4 linked regions of the Lepisosteus oculatus genome follow. The protein of the gene in region 4 interacts with the protein of the main gene of each other region in a pairwise test. Links are inferred from orthologs where the notes say so. Each region holds a gene or a part of one and is shown on either strand. Other genes may lie near its edges.

Evidence for each region.
Region 1: the proteins of bend7 (region 4) and ppp1r37 interact in binary tests that used the Homo sapiens proteins (3 or more experiments, as listed by UniProt). The two-hybrid records come from large-scale screens. The link is inferred for Lepisosteus oculatus from reciprocal best matches to the Homo sapiens genes BEND7 and PPP1R37.
Region 2: the proteins of bend7 (region 4) and lyar interact in binary tests that used the Homo sapiens proteins (3 or more experiments, as listed by UniProt). The two-hybrid records come from large-scale screens. The link is inferred for Lepisosteus oculatus from reciprocal best matches to the Homo sapiens genes BEND7 and LYAR.
Region 3: the proteins of bend7 (region 4) and eaf1 interact in binary tests that used the Homo sapiens proteins (3 or more experiments, as listed by UniProt). The two-hybrid records come from large-scale screens. The link is inferred for Lepisosteus oculatus from reciprocal best matches to the Homo sapiens genes BEND7 and EAF1.

The regions. Positions count from the first base shown.
Region 1 is NC_090698.1:1,061,402-1,068,406, reverse strand, and holds the start of ppp1r37 (protein phosphatase 1 regulatory subunit 37), read right to left. Parts: upstream 3,023-7,005; 5' UTR 1,839-3,022; coding exon 1,223-1,838; intron 1-1,222. UniProt on the Homo sapiens protein: Inhibits phosphatase activity of protein phosphatase 1 (PP1) complexes.
Region 2 is NC_090696.1:43,715,828-43,723,765, forward strand, and holds the start of lyar (cell growth-regulating nucleolar protein), read left to right. Parts: upstream 1-4,917; 5' UTR 4,918-5,010; intron 5,011-5,227; 5' UTR 5,228-5,287; coding exon 5,288-5,409; intron 5,410-6,370; coding exon 6,371-6,485; intron 6,486-7,759; coding exon 7,760-7,867; intron 7,868-7,938. Other genes in the region: zbtb49 (zinc finger and BTB domain-containing protein 49), read right to left, coding at 1,752-2,887, 3,097-3,248. UniProt on the Homo sapiens protein: Plays a role in the maintenance of the appropriate processing of 47S/45S pre-rRNA to 32S/30S pre-rRNAs and their subsequent processing to produce 18S and 28S rRNAs. Also acts at the level of transcription regulation.
Region 3 is NC_090705.1:41,671,497-41,678,507, forward strand, and holds the start of eaf1 (ELL-associated factor 1), read right to left. Parts: upstream 3,016-7,011; 5' UTR 2,862-3,015; coding exon 2,762-2,861; intron 1,787-2,761; coding exon 1,692-1,786; intron 1,370-1,691; coding exon 1,233-1,369; intron 1,042-1,232; coding exon 875-1,041; intron 1-874. Other genes in the region: tRNA N(3)-methylcytidine methyltransferase METTL6, read left to right, coding at 3,836-4,174, 5,518-5,652, 6,862-7,011. UniProt on the Homo sapiens protein: Acts as a transcriptional transactivator of ELL and ELL2 elongation activities.
Region 4 is NC_090702.1:14,200,361-14,207,581, forward strand, and holds the start of bend7 (BEN domain-containing protein 7), read right to left. Parts: upstream 3,001-7,221; 5' UTR 2,705-3,000; coding exon 2,575-2,704; intron 1,429-2,574; coding exon 1,351-1,428; intron 1-1,350. Other genes in the region: prpf18 (pre-mRNA-splicing factor 18), read left to right, coding at 3,635-3,700, 4,102-4,179, 5,388-5,414, 6,818-6,922.

The sequences.
Region 1 (7,005 bases), on a different chromosome or scaffold from region 4:
ATTAAGATCTGGGATTTGGATTGTTATCTCATGATTTGTCCCTAACATTTAACTTCTGTCTGCACAAGAATGGCTACAAACAAGAGGATGTTTGCTTGGCATCTCCTCTGCCAGCACCGATGAGGAGCTGAAAGGTGAGCAGGGGTGCGACAGGCTGGCAGAGCTGCATGGCTTCTCCAGTGGGTTTAGATGGAAACTAATTTCCTCAGAGCTGTGAACACGGCAAATTAGTCGAGCTGAAAAACAACCCCAGAGGTCCACACAGGACACACTGGATCACAGCTAGCTGTGCAACAAGCAAGAAAACGCAGGAGGAAAGACAAAGCTGACGACATAAACCAGAGTCGTGTTGCCCTGGTCCTGTAGGTTTAATATGGAGATTTGGAAAACATGTTAACTTCATCCTGTACAGCTCTCCCTCCAAGCAGGTAGTAAACAGGCTTGGCAGCATAAAGAAGGACTTCGCTGCACAGCGGCACATAACCATTCCCCAGAGAGACCCGCTGACCCCTAAGGTGGCATCTCACGGGGCGGACGCAGCGCAGACAGCTGCACCGGGTTCTGTGACGTCACTCAGAGCTCCGCTGGCAGCCCAACGTAAACAATATCAGAAGGACAAAGGGAGGTAATTTTCAAATGGCAGTCTTGGCCAGCGCACAGTGCGAGAGCTTCTGTCTGTGACACACTGCAGAACACATGCTTCTGGGGCTCGGGGTCACACAGGGTGGCCCGGAACCCATCAACCACAGGAGGGATGAAGCAGGGCCTGGCTTGAAGAACTGGAAATTTGTGGGAAGGTAACGGCTGTTTTCATGGCATGCGTGTCTGCTACTACTCCACTAACAAGGACTGTGTGAGGACACTACTAGCACAAGACACTCCACTCCTTCTAGGCACATCTATTTTCCAATCAATCACTTTTTTAAAATCTTTAAAACCCGAGACATGTCTTTGCGAAGGAAAAAGAGCACATGAAGTTTAGCAGACCTGCAACTTGACAAGCTACTGTTACAGGATCTTGAGCAGAAGAAAAACACATTCACCACCATCAGCCTGAAATCTCACATCTGACCCGCCACTAGATGAGAGGCCTGGAATTCAGGATGTGCCATCTGGTCTAACAGCGCAGCCGCTGTGCTGTCATGAGAGCAGACAGGGCTGGACACGAAACAGCAAGACACAGTGGCAGGAACTCAGGTGCCAGCGGAAGGACGGTATTTACCATGCCTCCAGGGGTCCTTGGGCTCCACAGCTCCGGATACGATGTCCTCATCTGAGGGGAAAGTCACCCTTTTCACCCCGTGTTTCAGCTTCTCGTGCTCATCCGGCGGTGAGGGGGGCACACCGGCCCCCACCTGAAGGGGCGCGCACTCAGCAGCCCCCGGTGTCGAGGGTGGGGTCCCTAGGCTCGCTGGGCACTCCGAAGCCACATCTGGATCAGTGGACACAATGTCCCTGTCTCCCGGGCCCCCTTCGGGCTGCACAGGGCCCGGTTCTGGCCACTGCCCGTCCTCCAATGCCAAATCCACGCCAGCTTGTGCATCATCCCCAGTGGCACCAAGCCCTTGGGCCGCTACAAGCTCGTCTGCTGGGCCGTAATCCAGATCAGTCCCGGCCGTCTGGGGTACCTGAACCCCATTTCTGTCGTCCCCGTTTACCTCTTCTTCGCCCCCCCCATCCACCACCTCCAGTGCGGTCTCCCCCTCTACCACTCGCCCGGCTGTGTCCACCTCCCGCAGGCTGAGTCGGGGGATGATTTCTGCGCAGTCTGCCTGCTCGCCAGCGGATTTCTTCGCTTTCCCATTGCTCAACTCTAGATCCTGCGCCTCGCTGTTCATTTTCTCATTTCTACCAAGCTAGAACGGACGAAAACTGCAAAACACCTACCCCAGCGTTTACAGGATTTGAATAAACAGTATCTTTAAAAAGGGTGTAAACACTCCCGGTTAGGTGAAGCCCACACTAAGATCGGTTGTTTTGTTTGTAAACTACAAACACATGACAGGAACCACCTGCAGACCAACTGCACCTCGCTGTCCGGCCAAAGGTAGTGGCTTGTTCTAGTGTTTGAGTATCCGACTAGTCGCCTTTCTTTTTTCCTGGATTTTTCCTGCAACAGATGCACTATGGCGGGAGTATTTAATCACCGCGATGAATCAGTAGTTCAAACTTGTGAAGTAATCTCAGGTCCTGCTGACGTTCTGCCCCTGTCTTGCCCAACAGTAATCATAATATTTATATAGTTTTAAACACAGCCTGCAGCACCTAAACATTCAGCTATATATTAACTCTTTATCCAAGAACAGTCGTTTATGTTCTCTAATGAAATGCTTAAATATGGATGGGCTTCTGTGAATCTTTACACTTGGACACGGTTTGAAATACAGCTGCGTCTACGTCTCTCGGGGTAGACGAACACGTCGCCGCTCTCGCTCGGACAGCCCGCGGCTGATGACTCCGGCTGCATCAAGTGGGGATCATGTTGACTCCGCTGCTCTTCACATCGCCCTCTCGCCTGTATTCACTCGTTTCCACAAGAAAACAAACTTCTCTCCTCGACGGGCGCCTACCTCCCCATATTCCTCTCGCTCGTGTTTTATTTACGTCTTTTGTTAGCAGGAAAAGCTCCGTCAACGATTATTTTTCAAATCGCCCAAGTCGTGCCCCCAACTAGCATTGTTTAGCCAGGACGGTCCCATTCCCCTTTCTAAGACTCGGTCGAGAAGCTTGTTTCGGGTGACATCTTTCTCTCCGATAGTTTCGGCTCCTTTTCTGTTTTCCACCCTCCGCCTTGTGTCTTAAAGAAGCGATACGTCTCTCGCCAGAAACACATCAGCTTCTCAAACCTCCGCTTGGAAAACGACAGCTTGACTTTTCGGAGCAGCAGTTTCGACAGTAAGCACCGGAGAAGGCAGGTAACTATTAAGTGGCGATTTAAACACTGCCTAACAATAAACTCGTTTTAAAAAGTCGTTTTCTTTCAAACTCACCGGTTAAACTTTTTTTTGTCTTTTCTTCCACCTAAATCAAATAACTTTTAAAGACATTGAAAGCGAATCTACAGATTAAGATTTTTCTACATTTACCCAACAACTGTTTTGTTTTCCATTGATTGCCGTGATGATGCTGACGAATTCGACACTTAGTAAAAGCACATTCGTTACCGCTAGAGCGTTAAACATCATGCAAAATGAAAAACACATCTGGAATAAAAATCGACTATTATTCTAAATAAATTGTTGTACTTCAGTGTTGTATTTGTTTTGGTTAATAATATAGTTCTCCTCTAATATCGTTGCAACTCAATCTATTGAATCTGCTGCTTTGGTGTGTAGTAGGATTTCATAACGTGTGTTAAAGAAAGTGCTGCTTGCTTGTGGTTTGATTTATCGCTCATCAGTGATTTTTAACGTTTTTCTTAAGTGTTAGGAAATTCTTCGCATGTATTATCTGTAAACGTACAATCATTTAAACAATTGAGCAGTTTTGCACAATATAAATTAGAACTTCAAGCAACAAAACGCATTCCTCTGATCCTTTTCCCCAAGAAAATGTTTTCTTCTCAAAGTTGAAACATAAGGGATGCTTTATTTGCCTTCATTTATAAATATGGTTGATTTGTGTGTGTGTGTCTTGTTTTCTCTGATGTACTGGAATTTATTTGGGAACTGAACCTCCCAAAGCATCTTTCTAAAATGCTCCTCTTAAATATAAATAATAATAATAATTGCTTACACTTATATAGCGCTTTGCTGGACACTCCACTCAAAGCGCTTTACAGGTCATGGGGATCCCCTCCACCACCACATTACTTGTAAAGCGCTTTGAGTGGAGACGTGGAATCGGCCTGTCATTTTAGCCATAAGGAAGCTGGAAACAGAATTAGAAGAAAAGCTTCTGCAAGTTATTCGTTTTCCAGAGGATCAATGTGTGCTAAACTCAGTGGGTATGTGCAAAATGAAGGGGTCATGTGCAATTATAGAGGCTTAGGGTACAAGGGGAGTAAACTCACAGGTTCTGGAAAACTCTGTGGATTCCTGTAGGAAGGATGTGCAATGACTATGTATGGTTTGATGTCTTTAATGTAATGTTACAATTATTTTTAATGTAAGTTTATTTGTACTACTAATATGTTTCCTGTAAGCCTGTCAATGTGTAAAACAGCTGCTTGGATGCAAAACTAAATTCTGAAAAATCAAAGAGTAAGGTTTTATTGAATCATATTGTCAACTCAAATTAATGTCTGACTTGTGTTATTAATGACTCCTAAATCATTAATAATTGCTAAATTCACAACAGTAAATATTTTATATAATGTTTTTTAATCTTTTTTTTCTGTTACATTTTAAATTCTGTGTCAGTAGCTATTTTGTTATATTAGTGATCTCTGGGAGTCTTGTGTTGTAATGGTGTGAATAAATTGTGTAATGAAAACAGTTTTTCAGAGTGCAGCAACTTGTATTACCCAAAGGTCGACAGTTTTCCCTCGAAGATATTAAATAATACGTTTCTCCCTGTTTAAAGTCTTTATTAGTCAAATTTCATAGATCTGTTAAACATGTGTGAAGGTAGCATTATAGAAGGTGGTAATACTAAACGGATATCTGCAGCACATTTTAATATGGTTCATGTTATGCCGGCACACTGGGTCTATTTGTGTTTACGACGCTGTGGCGCTTGTGTTTTGGGATGACTGGGGTGCGGTACCTGGGTGTCTTGGGAGGGGTTGCCTGTCTCCGCCAGCTGTAAGACTTGCACAATGAAGAGCAGAACCTGCGAAGCCTGTCTCAGTCCCTGGATCTCCGCGGTGTATCAGCTCATAGGCCTTTCATTTGTTTTGCTGTTTTCACCCTTAATGTAGCTGTTGCTGGCGGTCAGCAAAAATGCGACTGAGTGATCAGAAGGACAAAAAAGGTTGTGTCCTGCTTTATTGTAATTTTCCGTTATTTCCCTAACTTAAAGAATTGTAAGGGGGGCATGACTAGGGTTGAAAAAAGGAACAACAGACAGAAATTGGTGGCCCTCAGATATATTTTTCTCACTTTTGTTCACCTCAGCCGAGCCTAACCAAGCCTTAATGTGGAAAACGGCGCGTCGCTCACCCTTCAGGAGTTCAACAACTCTGGGTTTGAAGTGGGGCTTGTTGAGAGCTCCGGTCCTCCTTCCCTGAAATACGGCACTGGGAAGGTCATGAAGTTGAATTCCTAATTACCGTGTCTGCCCAGTAAAGACCCTCCGGCTGGCATTCAATAACACGCAGGAATACCCGATTGCCTGAAACTGTGAGGTACTTTATTGACAATATTTTTTAGTTGGCCTTAGTTAAATGGTTAAAAGTTAGTTTTGACTCCAGTATTGAACATATATTTCTCCCCTTTTTATTCACAAGTAAATAATTATTAAATAGATCATATTTCGAATAATTGTAAAGACTAGTCGAGTTTTGTTACTGGTCACTCAGCTGTGGAGGAGCCACCATCTAAGTTATTCTGTTTTAAATGTTTACTAAATTAAAAATAAAATCCCCTGTCAACGGGGGATGGGCTGTGGTTCTGCTGATATTTGTATCGGTAGATATTTGTACAAGAGCCATTTCGATTCGAACATCACTGGGGAAAAAGAATAAGGGAATATGTCTCCGCCCGGACGGAGATTTAGGGGGAAAAAGACGTCTGGTGATCCTATTTAATGTAATTTCTTGTTTTTATATTTTACTATCCTTTACTTTTTTGTTTTTTTTATTATTTATGACTATGTACAGTGTCCTTGAGTTCAGTACAAATAGTAAATACCAAGTTCTTCTTCTCATTATTATTGTAACGCAGACCGCCGACATTGCAGGCTGTGCGAGCCGTCTTACCAGCGCGGTGACGTCACCGCCCTTCCCTGTGGAGAGCAGAGACCGCAGCCGCCGGGCTAACGGGAGATTTCCCTTTGGCTCAAGAGGCTGGGTCCCTGTGGAGTGACGCTGGAGGTCCGGGTTCGAGTCCCTAGAGCGGTGGGGGGTCAACCGGAGGCGGCAGTGGCGAGGGCGCGTGAACCCGACAGCGCTATATTGGTGTTAACAGTGGGATGGGGTAGCCCTTCGGATGGCGAATTAAGCGGGGGAGGGTTTTTTTTAGGAAAAATTGTCGCTGCGTCCTTAGCTGTGCGATTCCTGAAGTCACAGTCTGCGAATTTCTTTGTCTAAGATGTCAAACGAAACAGCTGTTTGTACGTGAGCTTCCGCCGTGAAGTAACAGGATTTGTGTATTCAAAAAGGAATCGATTATGGGAACATTTTTTTAAATGTGTTTAGCGTCGCACACAGCACCAGCATCGACCGCTAGAGGGCGGCGTTCTCAAGCAGCGGCGCCGTTTTCTGCTTCCACACGGCACCCGCGGCATGACCGTGCCCAGCTTTTCTACGCAGTCTTAAGTCTCTCTTAACCCATGCCACACACTTTAAAAATTAATAGAACTACCCTTCTGCAGACCCCATACTATACTACAATACTAAGATTTTATGTCATTTTGTTTCTGTTACTGTTGCTTTCATTAATTGTTAAAATAACATATATAAATAATAATTGCTTGCACTTACCTGTATATAGTGCTTTGCTGGACACTCCACTCAAAGCACTTTACAGGTAATGGGGATCCCCTCCAGCCTCACCAGTGTGCAGCCCCACCTGGATGATGCACCAGTACTCTCCCCACATACCAGCTCTCAGTGGGAGGAGAGCAGAGTGATGAAGCCAGTTCAGAGATGAGGATCATTAGGAGGCCATGACTGGTAAAGGCCGGGGGGAAAGTTGTCCAGGACTTTTCCAGAAAGCTGGGGTATGTGGAAAGACAAATTCCTAATGATAGAAATTGTATATGGCCAATAAAGTGATCTTATATAGACAGAGCTCTGCAATACATGAAGGAGCCCACTTACCCCCCACTGGAGAGCAGCCCTCCTACACAGCAGAACAGGCAGAGGTGAGAGACGCTGCTGCACCAGGTGAATTAAGGATCAAT
Region 2 (7,938 bases), on a different chromosome or scaffold from region 4:
ATAGAATGATGTGCAATGTTTTTCTTTGTTATTTTTTTGTAATAGTATAATGTGTAATGTTTTTCTTCTCTTTTTTTGCATTCTATTTAAATGTACAGTAGTGCTGGGTGTCCATAAAAAAAATTCCCTCACTGGACAATAAAATCTTATCTTATTATAAAAATCAAGATGTGATTTGCTTGGACTTTTAGTAGTCTAATTTTTGACCATTGAACAGGTCAACATAGTTCAAACTTCTTTATATTTTATAGAAATTATGTAAAAAATGCACATAATATATATGTTCCTTTGAATCACAGATCATGTCTTTTGAATATTTTATGTTTTAAATAAGTCTGTATTAAATGTTTTGTGGTACTTTTTTTCCCAGTAATGGAAAAATAAAAACACTAATGCAAGTTCATCAAGATGAGTCATTTCTCATCCCCCCCCAGAAGCCTGGCATGCTAGAGTTTCCCTGCTGACATTCCAGAAATCTTTTCATCTTCTGAAAAGCACACATCACTGAAGAAATAAACACAAAGACCAAACACCAACCTCTACCCTTCGCACTGCAGCCTTTCTGCAATCACACAAAATACACAGCACACCTTTCTATTCCTGACAAGATAAAGGGTCCCTTTTCATTTACTCTTCTACTTTGAATGTACCAGATGACATTTTCCTCAGGTCTCACCCAGTCCAAATCCTAACACATTACAATGACACTAGCACCTTGCATTTAAAGAGGACATAACCAGATTTGGGGTGGTATGGTGGGGCAGTGGTTAGCATTGCTGCCTTGCAGCACTGGAGCCCTGGGTTCAATTCCTGAGGTGCTGTCTAGGTGGAGATAGTTGTGCGCATTACATTTGTATGGGGTTCCTCCCACAGTCCAAAGACATACTGGTTGGTTAACTGGCTTCTGGGAAAATTGGCCCTGAGCTGGTGTGAGTGTGTGCATGTTTGTGATTGTGTGTGCATTGCTTTGGACTGGCGACCTGTCCGGGATCTATCCTGCCTTGTGCCTCTTGCTTGCCAGGAAAGGCTCTGACTGCCACCCAGCCCTGTACTGGATAAAGCAATTAGAAAATGGATAGATGGATAACCAGATTTGTGCCCGATAAAGTCCTGCTGTTTCCAGTCTCAATGGAATCTCAATGGAAATTCACTTCCTTCTTGTCCCTTATAATTGAGCTTTTCTGTGCAGTTCACAAACAGAAATCACAATGAAACTCAGGGGCTATCAAGTTGGCTGACCCATTCAAACAACTGTCTTGTTTAAAAAGTACACTGTAAAGAAATGAAAATTTGGTAAACTTCTAAATAAAATCAATTCTGCCTTTCACTTCTTGCTTGCTGGGACAGCCTCCGGCTTCCCTGCAACCCTGTATTGGATAAAGTGAGTAGAAAATGGATGGATGGATAAATAAGATCATAGGATCACTTCACCCTGGCAATATCTGAACAAATCAGGCGGAAAAGATATCATCAACATCAACAAGAGGGAATACAGTGTGTTCCTGGGATGTAAAACAGCCAGCGCACCTCCCCTGCGAGCACCCAGTGGAATTATACTCCAAGTGCAAAGTGTTCCCCATTGTCCTATTTGTATTTGTATAACAACAGTTCACTTCTGCATGGAGCACTGTTCTCATGACACAGTTGTCAGAAAAGGCCAACTTTAAAAGCACCTTGCCTGTCGGCATGTGCAGTTCATAAAGTTTCTGTAAAAAACAACAACAACAGAGCACCATTTGACGCCCAATTACCTGTGTGTGACCTCTTATGGAGCTCCAGATTGCTGGGATGTTTGAATGTCTTTCCGCACATCTCACAACAATATTGCTTCTGGTAGTTTTGGAGGTGGGCAGCATCTGCCGTGCCAGCTGCCGGGTTGTGCTCAGGCTCGTCCAGCTGTGCGAGCGAGGCGCTTGGAAGCTGCAAACACGGCGCGGGGGCAGCTTTACTTTCCTTTTCTGCACTGTGGCTGTCAGCGGAATGGTCGTTAGCCCCCTTGCCCCTGGGCTCAGACTGATTTGTCTCTTTCGGGGCGCTGTCAGCTATCCCGTCCGCCTGTAAAACAGACTCCTCCAAAGCCTTCTGGGATCTCAGGTAGTCGTATTTCTTAAGGTACACTGCCTTTTTTGGTCGAACCTGCCTATTAATTGGAGAGCCCTCACCTGCAGAGCTCTGACTTGCATTGTGCTCCACTGCTGGAGACATGACAAAACTAGACCCCAAGGATCCTGCTGACTCAGACACACAATGTGCCGTGTTGACAGCTGACACAGGCATATCCACTGGAGGGTTTGTGTCTGTAACACTGGAAGAAAAGTGCTCCCCTACCACAGTACTATGAGGTGGATTTACAGCCCCATTCAGAGCTGCATTTTGTTTAAAATACTGTTTGCTGTAAAAGTTTCGCAGCTTATAACCATGACTCAACTGCTTATCTGGGATCACTGAAGCACCACTCAGTGGTTCAAAGGCCGGGGTTTGCAAATGTGTCTGTGGTCTTCTGGAAAGATCAATGTCTGTAGTGGCACACGCAGGTTTCTGAGCCTCAGAGGAGCCGTGCAACTCCATCTCAGGAGACAAACTGGCCCCAAGTATGCATTCAGTATCTGTTGCCAAAACACCTGGTAATGAGAATGAGGAACTACCAGGGAGGCTTCCCGATGCTTCTATGGCTGGAGTGTATGGTTTCAGGAAATTATTGCACATATTGAGCACATTTGGTATTTGGAGACACTGAGCCATTTCTAACATTCCCTGAACATTGTCCTGGTTCAGATCAAGATGGGACGTATACATGAAATCCAGAATTTGCCCAATTCCTCCTACATCTTTAATGTCAAGATGAAAAACATCAGTTTTCTGACCGGGTGAGTTTTGAAATAAGGACCTGGAGAAAAAAACAACAACAACAACAACAAAAAATGTATTCATAAAGTTGGAATATTACTTACTGTAGCTTTTTTTAAAACCCAGGATTTAGAGTTTTTTAAACATTTCATTCCAATTTAACAATGAAATTACCAACATATGCATAATACAAAGTGCTCAGCCATATATATTCAGCATTACTGAATGTTTTAGCGCTAGTAAACTTACCTAAAATATGAACTGAAGGCAGCCAAGACATTTTTGTGGGCCTTAAAACAGACTCCCTTGACAACCAGCATGCAGTCACACAGAAAGCCCTGGATACGCTGCTCTTGGAGCTGCTGAAGTAGGTAAGAGCTGTGACTGGACAGAGACTCCATGCTCAACCTTCATTCCATAGCTCACCCGTAGAACCAGGACCATTCTCATCAGGTTTCACATACATGACTAGGCTGTTGAGCAAAAAAACAAAGTATGAGTGCACATACCCTGCAAGTTACAATTATAAGGACAACTGTAGTAGAAGGAATAACAGTTCCTCTCATTTATATACAGATTTTCATCCCATACGAAACTAAAACACTTAACATACAAAAGGGGAACTACTTCATTCACCTCACCTGGGTGACGAGACCGCCATTTAAATCTTAAGGAAACTATAAAAAAAGCAATTCTTTTAACACAGAAGCTTCTGAATGAGTTAGAGGGAGCGTGTAGCCCGAGCTACAGTGGCCAAGTACGATATGAATCGAACGACTGTGTAGTATGCACCAGGGTGCAATGTGAGGGACATTGAAAGAAAAGGCACCGTTTCATCTTAATGGAGAGCACAAAATGTGAAATATCAGAAATCAAGTACAGCTTCAAGATTTCAGCTGCAGCGAAATGGTTTTGCGTCTGTGACTCTTCATCTGAAAGTGTCACAGCAGTTTTGGTTAATTTCACCGCACGTGTTCGGCCACTAAACAACACAACACACAGCCACACTTGACCCAAGTGGCTGCTTTCTTTCTGCCTGCAGAAAAACCACGCAAGCTACGGCGCCTTTATCTCATTTCAGTATCCCCAGATATAAAAACTGAAGAGACCTGCCAAGACAAAAATAGGCCCAGCATAGAACAACAGGCAAATAAATTAGTGCTCAAATATATAAAACAGACAATAAAACACGTATATATCAGGTTCTGTAGCACACTTACAGAACCTCAGAACAGGTTACATATTAAACAAAGCACAGTTTAATTCAGTGATATGTTTTAAAAAAATACCTTCTTTCCCGTTTTGTTTGGATGATCAGTCACCACGTCCTCTTGAACCTTTACCTCACTTCCGCAACAAACTGTGATCGAAATCGCCACCTAGCGGTTAGAGATAAAATAATGATGTGGGGATAAAAAGGTGTGTTGATTTTTGTTTTTTATTTTGGTTAGATACTATTGATTTAAGGGAGTGGTCCAAAGTAAATTATGCACTTTCAAAATAGTAAAGGCACTCCCTTTAGTGGCTTTAAAACCTATCACGAATACGGATTTTTCACTGTTCTGTGCCCGAGCTAAGTCTGTTGTTACGGTTCCCTTCTGATTTTTTTAAGTTTAAACTGTTAATAACACCAAGCCCTCATTTTCTAGTATAATGAATATAAGCAATTAACACAGTTTTGCGGGTCATGTGAACTCAGGAGGACACAATTTTTCCAGTTCCACTCTACACGAATCCTGAATGGCAAGTCTGGAATCCTCTTCCTGGAAATCTCATTTAGGAACAAAAGTGTTTTGCCACTGAGCAACTTTCTGTTTAATATATTTCCGGAAAACGTATATTATCAAAGGGATTTAGGTTTTGCCCGCGATAATTATTCAGTATATACAATATGACAATAACCCATTATCGTTTTTAGTCTTTTTTTAACTTTGTTGAAAGTTTATTTTGTACATTCTTATTGCCACTTGAACGTATTACACTAATATTGTGTCAATACTATAAGACTAAGTAAAAATTTCGATTTATTCTTCGACCGATATCAACAAGATTATATTCAAAACTAATCCAGAGCACTTTTGGGAACATCAATTTGGGTGCGGTGTTCCCACGGAATGTAAATAGTGTAACACTGCTTATCCGGAACACGTGAAGTTGCTCTAGGTATGTTCAAGTGATCTGTAAATTCGGACGTTTAAAACAGTAAATGATTATGTAGTTTTAATTTCGTATACATGTACACGAACGGTTTAATTAAAGTAAAAATATCAACATTGCAGTACTGTGTTTTCACTAGGAAATCTTTAATACAGAGAATTTAAAATTTTAAGATTTTTCATTTACCCTAGTCGCTGTCACGTGTTTTTTTTTATGGTTCCAGGGTCGCAAAGATCTGATTGGGGAATATTATTTTTGTGTTCCAAATTCGAAGTATTTCAGGATGGTTTTCTTCACCTGCAATGCATGTGGAGAATCATTAAAGAGGGCACAAGTAGATAAACACCTGAATATTTGTCGGCACTGTCAGTGTTTGTCGTGTATTGACTGTGGTAAGGATTTCTGGTGAGTATCTTTTAAGGTCCAAAATATGTTACTTTAAGGTCTTTTAAGGTCCAAAATATGTTACTTCCCAGATTCGTTTTTTTCTTTTTCTGCTGGAAGGGTGGAATTAATGTAGTTTGCAGTGTGTGCGTGCGGAACGTTGCCTTCGTTAAGGATCACTCATTGAAAGCCACTAAATAACAAATCGAAGTTAATTTTTATTTTATAATCCGCATAAAATAGGTTTACTATTATTGTATTTCATCCTAGTTAATTGAGAACGAAAAAAAATAATACCGCTTACTATCAAGAGGAAGCCGTTTGGTTCCTAACGGTTAAGTGATCTAGGGATCTCATCCACATGTTTCTTGAAAAAATCCAGGTTTGTTCCTACTCGTTGTTGAAAGAAGTGACTCCTGTTCTCAGTTTTAAATGAACTTCTGCATACTTTTCACTTGTTACCTTTGGTTTATGGTTAAATGTTTTCAAATTACTTTGTTAACGCCTTAGAGAATTTCCAATATCAGAACCAAGTTTCCCTTTTTCTATATTTTATCCAAGACTAAAAAGAAACAGCTGTTCTTTTGGCAGTACATTCATTCACTTAAAAGAATCAGACTCCTCTTTGAAATGAGCAGTAATATTAATTTTTCTATTCTGGTAAACAAAATTGTATGTGATATGCTGAATGTCTTACTAGTGCATTGTACAATTTTAATATAAAACCCCTTGAATTCATTTAATTTTAATAAGATGATTTTAGTTATGTAACCTAGCATTGTTTGTTTTTTTACTGTTTCCCTACTTTGGTTTGATGAGTCTTGTATACACAAAAGTCATACAAGACTCTATCCCGTTTAAGTCTGTATTAATATTTCTACCTTAAAAATATTTGAAATATTAACAGTATCCTTGTAGGAAATGATAATCTTCAACACATTTAATGGATTATAATGCATTTGTTGTTGTTTTTTTGCTACAGGGGAGAAGACTATAAAACGCACCTTAAATGCATCAGTGAAGATCAGAAATACGGAGGCAAAAGCTATGAAGCCAAGAGTAACAAGGGAGATGTGAAACAGCAGCAGTGGATTCAGGTAGATCAGTGTTGTCACTTCTTCAGGACTACATCAGACTTCTCGATATTTGTTCATAGGGCATGAAAGTCTGCTGCAACCTAATTTTATCATCATGATAGATCTGATGTATATTGAAAATGCAGCTTGAAAATTTTGTACTATCATAGATAAATGTTTTATAAAACTGTAAATCACGTCTGTTTTTATATTTCAAATTAAGTATTTTTTGTCACTAGGCGGGTGAGAAAAAGAATCATTGATGTCTTTTATTATAGAATAAAACACTAAACTAAGTGTTTTGTTTTAGAAAACAGAGCAGTATAAAATCTATGTGCTCTGTAATTTAGTATTCTGTTTTTAATTGTAAACCTAAAACCCGTCTTCTTACTGTCGTCTATGTCTGAGTGTATTATGAATTGTTTTGTGTGTTCTTGTTTGTATTTTTATCATTATGTACAGCATCCTTGGGTTTGGACTGAATCTGAATAGTTGTAAACAAATGTCATTATCATTCAGGTTATGTGAAATTAAAAAGTTTTAGCATTTTGACATTTTTAACTGGATATTGTTTTCCCTGAAAGTTTAATCATGTAAAATATTTATGTGTTGGGATGCAACTGTCCTGCACTTTTGTTTTATTTTTTTAAGGTTGAGTGGGCAATTATTTTTATTAATAAAAAAACAAGTTGAATTGCACTGACCCCTGTATCCACATGGACAAAAAATAGGCCCCCTGTCTTGCTATTCAACTTTTGACACATTACAACGACATTGAGTACTGATTGACAGTAATATATACACATCTCTGCCATCACCCCAGACCTGCCAGCATCCAGGAAATCACTGTGGTTGCTTTTTTACTGGGAGCTAAGAGAGTTCTGGCTGAGCAGTCTAAACCCTCTATTGCCACCATGTGGTCAATCCTGGTCAGCATTAAGCAATTGGCTCAAGCACAGCCTGTGGTTGGAATGAGCACTATTACCTTGTTGAGCCACTCAAGGGGCCCATTCAGCACATTTCCCAACTGTCTTTGAGCAATTATTTGCTAAACTTGGAAAAAATGATTTCAGATAATTTCAGCATGTGAATTTAGGGAAAATGGAAAGTGCTTTTGGAACTCAAGGGTAAGTGTTCAAAGCCTCTTTTGTAATGTTAGTAATGTTTCTCATGATTTACTTTTCATATCGTTCAGGCTCCTGAATGTTTTGTTGTTCACAATTCTTACACGGTTATCGTAAATATTCTCACGAGAAATAACTGCCTGTAATATTTATGAGAATAATCTGTTGTAGAAAATCCATGAAGCAGTGAATAAACCAGGAATCAGTCCAAAATTACGTGAGGTGCTGTCCCAAGTGAGCTCCTACGACAATGTTCCAAGAAAAAAAGGAAAGTTTCAGGTAAGTGAACTGGTTTGCTTGTCTGTTATTCCAAATGTGATATAATGATATTATGTGATATTATGCTGTTC
Region 3 (7,011 bases), on a different chromosome or scaffold from region 4:
TGTTTCCCTCCGTACACCTGAGTGCTGCTCTTCTATATTCCCTTGAGAAACAGGAATCTATGAGTAAAAAAAGTCCTGGTATTACTCACCTTCTAAGATAATAATAGATCACCTTCCCTTCAGCACGTTTGTCTCAGTAATGAACAAATGTATATACGCAGACTGTTAGTGCACACATGAACCAGACTCTGGGACAGGACTGCAGTGATCAGACAGTATATTGAGATACTCAAGAGGGGGAGGAGCCGGAGCCTGCAGCTGGGGACAGGGGGGTCTGCCCTGCCCTGCCCTGCCCAGATTTCTAGGATGAGGCAATGTGGACAAGAATGAACAGCATTGTTTCCCTTTAGTTAGATGTTTCTTTTCAAGCACTGGTATTCATGTAGCAGGGTGTGGCTGACAGGCCCTCTCTGGACTTCGACAGTCAAACTGCCGATACAGCTTGAGTGGGTGACTACAGAGCCTTAGAGTATGGTCACACTTTTTGTCCTCATTGCTGGATCAATTTATTTATTTTTTGCACAGCAATATCCACAATTTTTTAATGCAAGACACATCCCTACGCATTAATTAACCCCGACAAAGCAGCACAAACCCGTGACCACCTGAGGTGAACACACAGTCACTGCAGACAGAAGGCATTTCAGTCCGGGTTCGAGCCCAGTGCCTATGTGCTGAGTGACTGCAGCCCAATCTGTAACCCCAAAGGCTTTATCAGAGTTTGTATCAGAGAACAGGCAAACAATCCTGAAAAAGGAAACTCTTTTGTGTTGTGGCCACTGATCATGAAGGACCCACCTGCCCAACGGATAAATTGTTTTTGGCTAATCCTGCAAATAAAGGTTACAATACAGAATCTTCAATGGGCACCTACCTCTCTTAATGTCATCCAGCTGGGGCTCGGGGGAGGGGTTGTCTTTAGTAGGGGAGGTTTTAGCCCCGACGCCAGGCTTGGTCGGAGCTCTGAACTGTGCGGGAGGCTGAGTTGCCCGTACTGACTGCTGTTCTATTCTTGCCTGTATTTTACTGCTGCCTTCCGCTCTGAAACCGAACAGCAAGATGATTTAAACACAACAGCACAGAATAATTTAATTTGCCGTCACGGTACACTGTAAGCAAGAGTGTTATCTGCTCTTTAAACAAAACACTTCGACATTTGGCTTTGAGGTGCATTATGAATTAACTGTTTAACGTCTTTTCGGGCACTGTATATTTTGTTACATGGCTCTTACCTGGTTTTCTTCACTTGTATGCTGCTGCTGAGTTTCTCCAGCATGAACTCCCCTGTGTCATGGTTGATGATCAGCACGCAGTCTTTTTGATATGGTCTTTTGTTACCTTTGAACACAGTCATTGGTGGTGTGGAGCCCTTGAAATGGGAAAAAAACCCCACAACAACAACAACACAACTTTAATTTAGAAAATGTTATACACACCGTAATAAATTCTATTCTACATCAATATTTTAAAGTAAGACTCTCCCAAGTTTTGACATAATTTCAATTTTTCAGTAAAAAGTTAATAATTTACAACTTTACCGACTTCTAGAGATCAGTTTAAGAAAAAGAAATTCATTTTAGAATCAAGAGATCTGGAATCAGCAGCCATGCATTAAATTAACCACTAACGACCACTACAAACTACATTTTAGGTCTGTAGCCTGATGAGCCATGGTGAAGACTGGGCTTTACCGGAATGTGAGGTAGAGTGATAGTGACTTCATCTCCTTTGCCTACTTGGAGCTCCCCTTCGCAAGATGTGTCGATGGACGCTGGTTTAAAGTCATCTGGGGAGCACAGGATGCGGAATGAATTCTGACAGCCATCTGCGATGTTTGCACTTTCATTCCAAAACGTTTCTCGCACCAAAGAAAGAAAACCTTTCTCCTCGCCCCATCACACCACCCATCCATCTTGTAACGGGGAAGCCGGAGCCGATCCCAGCCAGCAAGGGGTGCGAGGCAGGGCACACCCTGGGTGGGACACCAGTTCATCGCAGATCACAGACACACATGCTCGCACCTGTGCCGGTTTCCCCACAATACCCAGAGGAAACCCACATGAGCAGGGGGAACATGCAAACTCCACCAAGACAGAAGCCCAGGTTCAGAACACACATACAGTAGCACCAAGCCTTTACAGCCAGTAGCTGTTATCTGAGACTGTGTATAAGTCTTCAGTTATCCAGAGTACACCTGTAGTGCGCTCATCTGTATGCAGGGTATTGGCTGGAGTAACTGTGGGTGAAACACCTTGCTCAAAGGTACAACAGCAGCATCACGTTCAGGGTTTGAACCTACACTCCTTTCTAGAATCACATCACACAGCTGCCTTGGTCGAGTTTAACTGATTAGTAAATACAATAATTATAAAATCATATCCATGGAGATCATTCTCCTTATTTAACAATACAGCCCATAAAGAAAGGAGTATAATTAAAAAAAAATATTCTATCATGTTTACATCTTACCTTCTTACCCAATATACTTATGCTCTGAAAATGACAAAAAATCAGGATTCCAACTTTTAGACGTTCTAAATTCACGAGGAGCCACCAAAGAAATCCCTTTCTGAATTCACAGCGTACTAATTTTACTCCCTAACCTTTCCGTTCCCCAAGATAGGTATTATCACTGCACATACGTGTAATTAGCCCCACAAGTAAACAACATTTAGAGCCTTTATAACGTCTAAAACGTTGCTGAGACTTCGTGTGTTAACAACAGGATTATTGTGAATAAACGTAAAAGTTTCACACTTACACCTGATGGTGTGAAATGATGATTTCGGACGCTTTTCAAAGCTCTCTCCGAGCTTCAGGACATGCTCTTTGTCTAACAACGGGTTAGAACTCCCATTCATGTTTCCAGTTTCAATGTCCGATTCACATTAATAAAAAAATAAATAAAACATGCAGCGGCACACACGTTTAAAAAAAGTCGTGGGACATAAAACCAGATTGTAGGATTCCCAGTTGCAGGAGGCCGAGCATAACAAACACTCCTCTTCCTGTTTGTGTCCGACACACAAATGTCGCCGATGACAACATCGAGACCAAACTGGAAAACTGGAAGTTTCAACGTCATGAGAATTAACTGATAATAAAGGCAATTTTTAAAAACTTGAACATCTTCATGATTTGTGTTTGTATAATCTAATTGCGAGTGCGTTGCACAAAAAACCAATTTTGAACATTTACCTACAAAGACAATTTAATTATTCAGTTTCATATCCATAACACGGGAAAAGTACTGCAACTGTAATACGGAAATAAAGTAAACTGAATTACAGCAATACAATATAAACAACAAGTTTTTTTTTGCAAAATCATCAATCAAAATAATGCAGGAACGCAATATTTTTAGTTGGTTTAACACGGATTAAATTAATCGACGGAAAGGATGTTTTAGTTGTAATATTCCGGGTGGAATTTTAACTGGAATAGTTGGACCTCAGTTTTTACGCATTCATGTTTAAAATATGTTATATGGAGTAACTGTACAAAATAACTATTATGGAGCAAAAAAGCAAATGTTGCGTCCCCGTTCGTACAGTTGCTTTCAAAATACGACTGGTTAACTGAGGCACGTGTAAGAATTTGACACGTTTAATACTGCGTACAATTTTAAGATTATTTTATACGGGTAACCCATTCATTCCCATAATTTTAGAAAATGCAGTTGCACACTGTATGTGTTTTGTTTTCTTCAAGTTCAATTGAGTCTTTGCGATAGAACGATTAGCTGTTTTTTTTTTGTTTTTGTGTTGCAAATTTCTGTTTCCTTCGGTTTTATTTTTATTTTTTTTTGTAGTTTGTGCAAAAAAAAAAACTCTGTATGCCACTTAGGATGGAGGGCATAGACTCTGAAGATGCCTGCGGTCCACAAGGCGACAGTGCAAGTCCTTCAACTGGGACACAGTTAGCTGGGCTTGCGGACTCTGAGGTGTCTGCGGCAGTATTCCAGAGAAAGGAACACTGTGCAAGGGCTCTGTCACCGGAGGAGAGGGCGAAACTGAAAGGAGACCAATGTTTAGTGTCGGACTTCAAACAGCAGAAGCTCGAGAAGGAGGCACAGAGAAACTGGGACTTGTTCTACAAAAGAAACAGTACAAACTTTTTCAAAGACAGGCACTGGACCACAAGAGAGTTTGAGGAGCTCCAAGCGTGCAGAGAGGTATGGCAGGTGGATTTGTGTCCTTATAACAATATAATAATAAACTCCATTTTATATGGCGCCTTTAAAGGTGGCTTCTCAAAGCACTTTACAGAATGGCAACAACAATAAATAAAAAGAATACACAAGATAAAACACAATTACAATATACAGAGGAGACTGTGGATGGTGGAACTATGAAAAGCAGAAGCAGAGGGGTAAAGAATGGAACCAGTTAACTAAAGGCTCTTCTAAAGAAGAAGGTTTTGAGTCTGGATTTAAAGGAGTTTAGAGAAGGTGACTCTCTGATATCCTTAGGGAGAGAGTTCCAGAGCTTGGGGGCATAACAGGAGAAGGCCCTGTCACCCATACAATGTAGATGGGCTTGGGGGACAGTAAGGAGGGCACAATTAGAAGAGCGAAGGTTGCGAGGTGGGGAGTAGGGCGATAATAGTTCAGACAGGTACTGAGGTGCCAAGCCAAGCAGAGCCTTATAGGTGAGCATGAGGATTTTAAAGTCCACACGGAATTTGACAGGAAGCCAGTGCAAGGACTCCAGGATAGGAGTAATATGATCACTTGCTCTAGACCTGGTCAGGATTCTGGCTGCTGAATTTTGGACATACAGGAGTTTGTACCCCAGCGAGTAGAGCATTACAGCAGTCAATTCGAGAGAACACAAATATGTTGATCAGCTTTGTGTCCTTGAGGCCAAAGCAATAATATCAGCTCGAAGTTTGATGCTGCGTTTTAATTGTTCCTTGTGTGTTCAACCCTGATCTTCATCAAAGTAAAGTGAGATGCTTGGAGTGTAGGGGTAGTCAGCCTTGCGTCCCATTACAGAACTTTAAACCTTCCAATTAATTGCTTCTGAATTGTTTATTTACCCCAGTTGAAGATTGGATTGATAATTAAGCATAAAGTGGAGGACAATTGACTACCACATTATAGGTTTATTCAACTTGTAAATCATTGCATATATATCATTACATACTTTTGTCTTTGTAAAAGATCCATTTTAGAACTTGTCCTTAAGACTGATAAGGCAGACTCATTGAGGTCATGTGTATTGACAATTCCTGGTTGTTCCGTTTCAGAATATTAATTCAGTCAATGTAGAATGACAAGGAAGGTTAATTTACATTATTGGCTTTGTTGGGCCTGTAATAAATGCCATATGGTTTTGGTTTTGGTTTATGGAAATTGTAGAAATCTTATGCCTTCTATCCTTCAGTGTAAAGTTACCATCTCTTAATGTGGTATTCATGAGCAGCCAATGAGGCAAAGTATTTTTTTCCCCACAAAATTCATTGAAAACTAAAAACGTCAGTATTTATATTCCTATTAACATTTGTGTGTTTCAGTTTGAGGCTCAAAAACTGATCCTGTTAGAAGCTGGCTGTGGAGTTGGAAATTGTATATTCCCACTGTTGGAAGAAGATCTCAATATCTTTGTGTATGCTTGTGACTTTTCCCCAAGGGCAGTGGAGTTTGTGAAAGTAAGTAAACTGGAAGAAATATTTATAGTCTTATATTTTTTGCTGATTCAGAACCCACTGGCAGTTCAGACAATGAATGTCAATTGGACATATTAAATGTGGAAACCTTTATTTATTTTTTAATTTAACCTGAAAATGTTTTAATGCATTGTTATGTGGTTTTTGTTAATTTGTCTTTGAGATTTGTCCTGTTTTTAGTTTTGTGAAGTGCTGGAATGCCTCAGCATCAAGGCCACACTGTAAAAATTGCAATTATTTTGTCTTTCCTGCTAAGTGCCAAATTAAGATGGGATTCATTGTAAGAAGTGTGCGTTTCCCTGCACTGTACGCAATGCGGGTTTAATTAGGTAATGATCTAAAACATTGTTATATCACATGGTCGTCAGCATGACATAGTCACAGGTGATAATGTTTTGCAGTTAACAAAATGTGTACAAACTGTCAGATATTCAAGATGCATAAAGCTTGAATAAATTAAGGACTACAGACTACGCAAGCTGACGCAGCTACCCACCTGAACAATCTCAGAATAAGACTGAAAATACTGCTTCTCATCAAGGAATGAGTTTACTTCTGACTTCAGCAGTGCATTTTTAACTCCCTGTACGGATGTGGCATACACACTCTTTGGAGTCTGTCTTTATCTCAGTTCACAGAACAAAGCTCTGAACACTGGGAGGCCATGTTTTCTGTTCTGTTGCTCCAAGCATTTGTAATGATCTCCCAGCTAATATCAGATCTTGCAAGTCACTCAACACCTTCAAATACTGTCTTAAAACTCACTTTTTTATTTTTACTGTACTCATTTGTGTACAGTTGTCTTAATTATTTTTGTAATGCACTTTGAAATGATGTATCATAAAAAGCACTATACTCCCATTGTGCTCAGACTCTTTTGAAGCATGATAATGTACAATGTTTATCAGTAAACCATCTGAATGTTTTAAAGTAGTTCAGGTGGAGAGCTGCGTCAGCATGTGTAGGCTGCAAAGGAACAAGTAATAGGTTTATTCCATGCTGAAAGGAGAAGAAAGAAAACACAATGTTTCGGCTGTGGAGCCTTCTTCAGGTGGAAGGATTTGGGTGTTCTTCGGGTGTTCCTCACCCCTATAACTTGTTCCTTTGAATATATTAAATATGGCTTAGTGTGAGATCGTGTTTTTCTAGTCTATTATAATGTATCTGTTTGATGCCACTGTTTTAATTCAGCAAAACCCCTTGTACAACGCCGAGAGATGCGAGGCTTTCCAGTGTGACCTGACCAAGGATGAGTTGTCAAAGAATATCCCACTGGAAAGTGTGAATGCTGCCACCCTCATATTCGTGCTGTCTGCTATACACCCAGACAGAATGCGCCTG
Region 4 (7,221 bases):
ATGCAACAGTGTCTGCATTATGGGACATAATCTTAACCTGTTAATTTAATTAGCAACCCATTTCAACTACACCTATTTTCAAGACATTGACTAGCTGCAGTTTGATAATCACACCTTAACAGACTGTTACACCTGTTAAGGTGTGATCCTTCATCAGATAGCTTAATGGCCCTCATCTTAATGCAACCATTAATTCTTCAATCCACCTTAATGCACCTGAAATGTACCCTAATTCTTAAGGTGGCAGCTTTCCTCCCATTTCTCCCATTTGCGTAATATTCAACTTGACCTCTGTCATTTGTTATTCTGTTATTATCATTAACTAGTATAACTACTTCTGTTATTATCATTATTAACTATTTTGCAATTTAATCCAAGGTAATGCAGATGCGAAGCAATTACAGAAGTAGGAAAACATATTGTATTGGCTACACAATTTCTACATGACAGTGAGCAGGACAAAGGCATTGCTGTATGAGAGCTGGTTAGTTACAGTGTTGGAGACTAACTAGATGGGCTAAATTGACTTCTCTGGTTTGCAAAGTTTCTTAGATTCTTCTTGTATATTCAGTGAATATTACTCAATCACTACTAGGATCAGAATGGTTACCCTATATGCTGTTCCATGTGAGCTGACATCTCAAAGTTGAGTTTGGCGAGTTGTAAATTTAGAAATTTCAAAACTTTTCTGGACATAAGCAGCAAAAAGAAAAAAATACAGGCATGTTACTTAGAATATACCTTTTGGTATCCTCACAGCAACCAAATAAACCATAAACCATGAATAGAAGAACACGATGGAAAGAAATGAACATTTCTGGCATGTCCATAAATCTGTGAAATAATAGGATATGGCATTCATATTGTAACATTATTAAAAGCAGTTTTCAATTTTTTCTGTCTCCAAAATTTAAATTTCAGTTATGCTAGAATCCACATCCCAGCACTCTGCTTCAATAGTACTACTGTATGGTTGTTTGACTTTTACTGCAATATACTGTTCTGTCTGTGCTATGCTATGCAGATACAGTACAATTGTCAAATGGAAAAAATTGACTGTATTTTACAATACACATGACCAAACAAAGAAAAAACAATCTATCTTAAAGACACTGTGATAATGCCATGTGACTTGAAATAAATGGGATGTCTGCTAGTAACCATGCTGCAAGACAAAATAAGACAAATCCTGACCAACACACTGAGCTAAAAGTACTCATCACAGAAAAATAATATTACTTATACAGCATAAACTATATATATATATCTTTAGCAAGAGCTGAACGTATCTTCAAGATTAATGTTATCATAATCCTTGCCTGTTTATTCAATAAGAAATAAACAATGTACCTTCAGCCATTTTTGTATCATTTATTTCCCCGTTTGCATCAAGGGTGTTACTGCTTGCAAAGTATTCTGCTTCGTAATCTGGAAAGACAAGGAATATTACCATGGATTACCCACCAAGGTTCAGATGATACAGCAAAATACATCTGAATATTTTATACAAATCATATCATCATTTTGTCAAAGAGGAAGGAAATAATTAATCATAATTGTTTTCAAGAATTAATAGTTCAAGGTTTCCCTCCTTTCTATCCATCTCTTTGACACATACTCTCTAAAAGACAGGCTCTTAGAGGATAACTCTCACTATTAAGCTATTATGCTTTAAATGAGAGCTTCACACAAGACATCACCAACATATTTATATGTATGATGTTTGAAGCATTTACTTCATAAAGTCAGTATCGTTGAAAGAACAAATTTGCCAAATTTTAAAACATTCTTTAAAATGAACCTTGAAACAACTGCTCTTGGAAAATCTAACTCTCATATTACTAATGTAGGAAGAGTATCAAATCCCAGAAAAACGTAAACAATATTCTGTATAATGGGACCTAGGAAATATTTCGCTGTCTGTCTTTACACTGTAGTGAATGTGCACGACTATTTAGCGGAATGAAGACTATTGTAGGCAGGACTGGACCTGCCTGTTTAGTTTCCTGCACACTGCACGCTGTTAGGTTCTACCACCTGTAGGTGGAATATAAAATAGTCTAGTTCTCAGGCTCAAACTTGGCATCAAATCAAACCAAACTAAACTACTACAGATCACGTTAAGCCAATATTGATATTGCTGATATTATTTCATTCTCATGCGCAACAGAATTGTTTAACGCAAATTTTCATAATGAATATACACTCGAACAAATGCACTTTTTATAAATTTGTAATCTAATGACAGAAAATACAAGTTCAGTGATATCCGTCGGTTTGTCAGTGTGCCTTTCAGACTACCTACTCCTCATGAAAACAACCACATATATAATGCATTCTTCGAGCATTAGTTTATTCTTCCGTTGTGTATACCCCATGTGACAAATATATTAAATAATGTCTATGTATACTGTGTTTCTATTGATGGACAATAATCTCCTTTCAACTAAACAAACGTTGCAGGTGCATTCCGTGTTCTTTAACAAGGGTTATTTCATTTTAACCTTTTTGTTTATACAATACCCAAAGGAGCGACTGCAGACGAATCGTGACAAGATAAATTCCCTGCCTTACCTTCTTCGTTAATCAGTTTGAAGCTTTGGGATTTTCTGCTCCTTTTCCTTTCAGAAAACTCCATTATTGGTATCTGTGCGATAAAGACCAGGGAATGAAATCTAAAGCAGAACTCCAGCGTGTAGTACATCAGAATAAACAGCAGGACCGGGGTCCGTCTCTGTAATCAGCAAAAACTCCTGCTCATTACAGTATTTCAGTTCCAACTGCTTAGCCTCGCGTTTATACGCCCTTAATGGTTTTGAAAATTAACCGTGTTAATTACAGCTCTTGAATAAAACATTTTGTACTAGTAATCGATTGATCTTTATTTATTATTTTAGAGCGAATCCGTTTGTATTACAAAAAGATGAATCGGTGTACTTATATTTTCCATATTCCTTTGCGCCACCTGATGGAATTGTTTTGTAGGCTAGATGTTCATCACCTGGTTACCCACACACAGAATGAATGGTTTGAGGCTAAGGCTAGTTGACTTTTTACTGAGGAAATGGGGTAAAGTATCTCAGCCCCTCTCGGTGTCCTTGTTATACGGTCTGTTCACCTTTGTTTAAACTAGTCAAATGGTTAGGAAAGCACAATACTATTATATATATATATTAATCACAATTTTTTTATTTCAAGTCTGTTTCACGAAAAGTTAATAGTAGTAATAGTAATAATACATTTTGAATAATTTAAGAATAGCAGAGATCGATGACTTATAGCACCTTAGTACGATACAATTAATTAATGTCAAATATGCTTCGAACCAGTGCCAGTACCACAATTTATGCATATTTAATCATTAGGTAAAAGCGTATGGGTCATGTGATTGTGTGGACAAGCACTGTTCTCATTAACAATGAGAGAGATCTGCATAAGGGAGGTACCAACACCAATGACCTGTCGAGGTTTTTTATTCCAGAGGTTTCGGCTTCTGGCAGCATCTGTGTATCTTGACACCGCCCCTTGACCTTTCACCGTATAAAAACCGACGGAAGTGTTGGAGAATTGCTTCCTGTTTTGTGTGTTTTTTTTTAACAACACCGAAGGAGTTTGTGTTACATGCTATCACATCATGGATATTTTAAAAGCTGAAATAGCGAGGAAAAGGAAGCTCCTCGAAGAAAAGGAGCTTGTTGGTGTGAGTTACCGGTGTCCAATGGAAAATATTCAATTTTATGATGGTTTAAATGACTTTTTTTTACCGTCTATCACTCGGTGTTACCCGCAACGATAACCTGCTTTATACTTATGGATATTTGTGTGTTTACAAAACGCTGTCTAGTATACCAATATCACAGTAAAGGACTAAGTAACATTAAGAGACCCTTTCCATGGGATTTACTGTTATATCCGAAGCTGTCGACAGCATTTTAATAAGTCTGTAGTATTTAAACACGAAGTTTATTTTTTGCTTGTTTCTGTCCAATTCGAAATGTTAAATCAGTGCATGGACGTCCAGTGGACTGCTACCTTTCATGAGATATTAAACTAAATACTTAAATAATGTTGAGTGCCATAACGTCAACTCTTGTATTGCAGGAGTCAAAGAAATTCTTTAAACGCAGCGAGCTTGCCCGAAAAGAAGAAGAATCCTATTATGAAAGATGTGGTTATAAGGTACAGTGCTGACATATTTATAGATTTGTATTCGGATAGCCTTATACAGGTGTTTCCCTGTGTGAATTTTAGGCGTTAGATCGGGCCAGAACAGTTGCACATGCTGTGAGTGAGCACAGTTAATTGGCAACTTAGGCACTAGGATGTAAGTCGGAAACTGGGTTCATTTAAACGCAAAACCGCAGAGAGACTCTCTGTGAATAAGTAGAAAACCAAAGTGCAACTACTCCTCTCTATCTTGGAGTCAAGAGCAGCACAGCTAAATGGTAGCAGGACTTTATTTTGTACAGTGACCTTTTATCTTATGCAAGGAGATCATACTTTATGAATAATATTTTCTTCACATTCTGAAATTCCATGGAAAAATAAGATAAAATACAGTATATGACAAACCATACAAGTTTAATCATTTATTCCTTAGGGAAATATTCCTTCAAATCAGTGGACTTCATTATTTGCCAAATACATGCACTCTAAAAAATGGCCAAAACAAACAAGGATTGGAGGTCTAGTGTACAGCTATACAGTCTTTAGATTAGGGAGAAATGTGTTTATAGTGACAATCTCAGGAAGATTGATTCAGTCCGGGTCATATTCTTTGTGTGGTAAATTGCCAAAGTTTTGAAAAACTGCCTGTCTGTCGTCTTTGCACTTCATGAGATCTCAGGTGTGGATGGATGGTCACTGACCTAGAGGATCTAAATACATTTGGCTTAGGTTGTATGACACCTGATGCTTTTAGTGAATCACCCTTAGGTTCCAACATACCGGCTTCTGTTTATCGGATTTTAGATCTCTTTTAAAGTACAGACTTGTTATTCTTTTCTTTTGGACATTAATGATGTCTGTGTACATTTGCTTCTCTTTAGCTTGTCTTGATCTGTACAATCACAGTGTTAACCCAGAATATCAATTAAATGTAAAATGATCAAATCCGTACTTTATTTTCAAATTCCAACAGTTATCCAGTAGTTATGCATGGTGTATGTTTGCAAACCAGAACTTTTTTTGGCCTATCAGCTCGTTACAGCTTTTTTTCTGATTCCAATCATGTGTTTATATGTATATTAGAATATTTTGCACATATGAATACAGTGCTTTCTATAAAGGTTCTCTGGCTTTCTTAGTGATTTTTTTGGCTTGTTCTTCAGACCCTGTCTTTATAACATCTAATGCTGCTCTTCCATCCTGTCTGCATTGCACTGTAGGTTGTTAATGAGAAGCCAGCAGGAAAGGTATGGGATTAAAGAGGGCAAAGATTTGTCCCTGCTGTAGAGCAAAATTGGGCATGCTGAAACACATTGATTTTTTTTTCTTGCATTTTCTTTTGCTTACAGCATGAACTAGCAAACTGTGAAATTGTTTTGAGCAGAAGAAAATAAGTCTTGGCTGCACCAGTTTGAAACTAAAAAATTCATAGGGTGGAACTAACTTCAGTTATTCTGGACAGTTTAATATTCACAGTTTAAGATATTTTAAACTCACCCTTTTGTTTTAGATATGGATCACAAATATTAGTGACCTTTTATAAAAAAAAAATCTTAGCTCCAAGTAAAAAATTCCCCCTTTCAATAATAGTCTGTTGCTTTTTAGCAGATATTGCGGTGCTTCTGAGAGATCCCTTAAATTGCCTGTTATCTTTTTTTACAACTACCTCTTTTTGTACTGCTAGCTGTAATTGGGAAAAGTGCATGTGCTTCTGAAAGCATGATTCAAATTGAATTATTTAAAAAAATACACTTATGTATTTTTTAAAATAATGGAGTACTAGTGAACAAGCATTGAAAACACTTTCCTTGTTTTCTGCATCTGTTCAGGAAAAATAAAGAGTGTCTTGTAGCATGGTGGTTTCCTTTTTTCAAGGCAGCCGGAGTTGTTTGCTTAACTGTCCTTTTTAAAGTATTAATTTGCACCATTAATAAGTACTTTATTTGCAGAGTATAGGCAAGTGTCACTATGAGAAGCGGGGATAGTAACATTGTGGGAGCAAGAATCTAAAGACTTACAAAAGAACCTGTAAAGTGTCACCTTACTAATTCGTGTTACAGTACATGTTTAGTTTATATTTGTCATGAATGATTAACTTAACGTCACGTTGGTTTATTAAATAGCTGTTGAGAGGTGTTGCATGCAATTTAATTATATGTTTAAGACAAGTTCTGTGTTCTGGAACCCAGTGCTATACTCCGGATCATCTAACTGAGGATCAGTGCTTTCCCTAATTGACCCAGTTTTTTCTCTGTTTTTAGAATCTTGATAGATTCCCATGCAAGTATTGTCTCAAATTAATTTCTGTTGTGCAGTGTTGAAATACTTTTCAAGTAGATGGCGTTGTTCAGTGCGTTTTTTAAAATATTAAAGCACCTTTGTTCTCTTTTTTTTCTGAAGTAGTGAGGTGTTATATATATTAAGTGTTTATAAGAAGCATCAACATAAAATATTGAGGCTATTTAATGTTGTAAGCAGTCGACTTGTTAGTATGTATTTTGTATGCATTATCAATGTCAGTGGCCCTTTGGAAAGGAAAGTTATTTAATTAAATATATTACAAAATAAAAAGTAACAAATTGCTCATATAATCTTTACATTTACAGTATCTTGTTAAGCATGGGATCTTCAATTTGGTTTTAATTTAAAGTTGCAGCGAAAAGAAGATGAGCCTGAACCATCGACCTCCTCCAATCCTGTATTGGAACTTGAACTAACTGAAGAGAAGCTGCCCATGACGCTTTCACGACAGGAGGTAAGCCTCATGCAACAGTGCAGAAGATGCTGTGCCCTTCTCAAGGCAAAGTGTGTTGTACAGAACATGCTTGTGTTCAGATGTCTGTGCATGTGCTTAGCTTTTTTCTAAACTAATTTGGTGAAAGGTGTTCCCAGATGCACTGTTTCTCCTCTGCAAAGGCCACAAATACCCAGAATCCTGTCATGGATATCATCCTAGTCCACCCACTTTCGCTTCCACTTTGGAAAGTCCATGGAGACTTACAAATTGGAGTCTCTGCAAAATCTAAGAGCTTTCGGCGATTACTTTGGAATAGG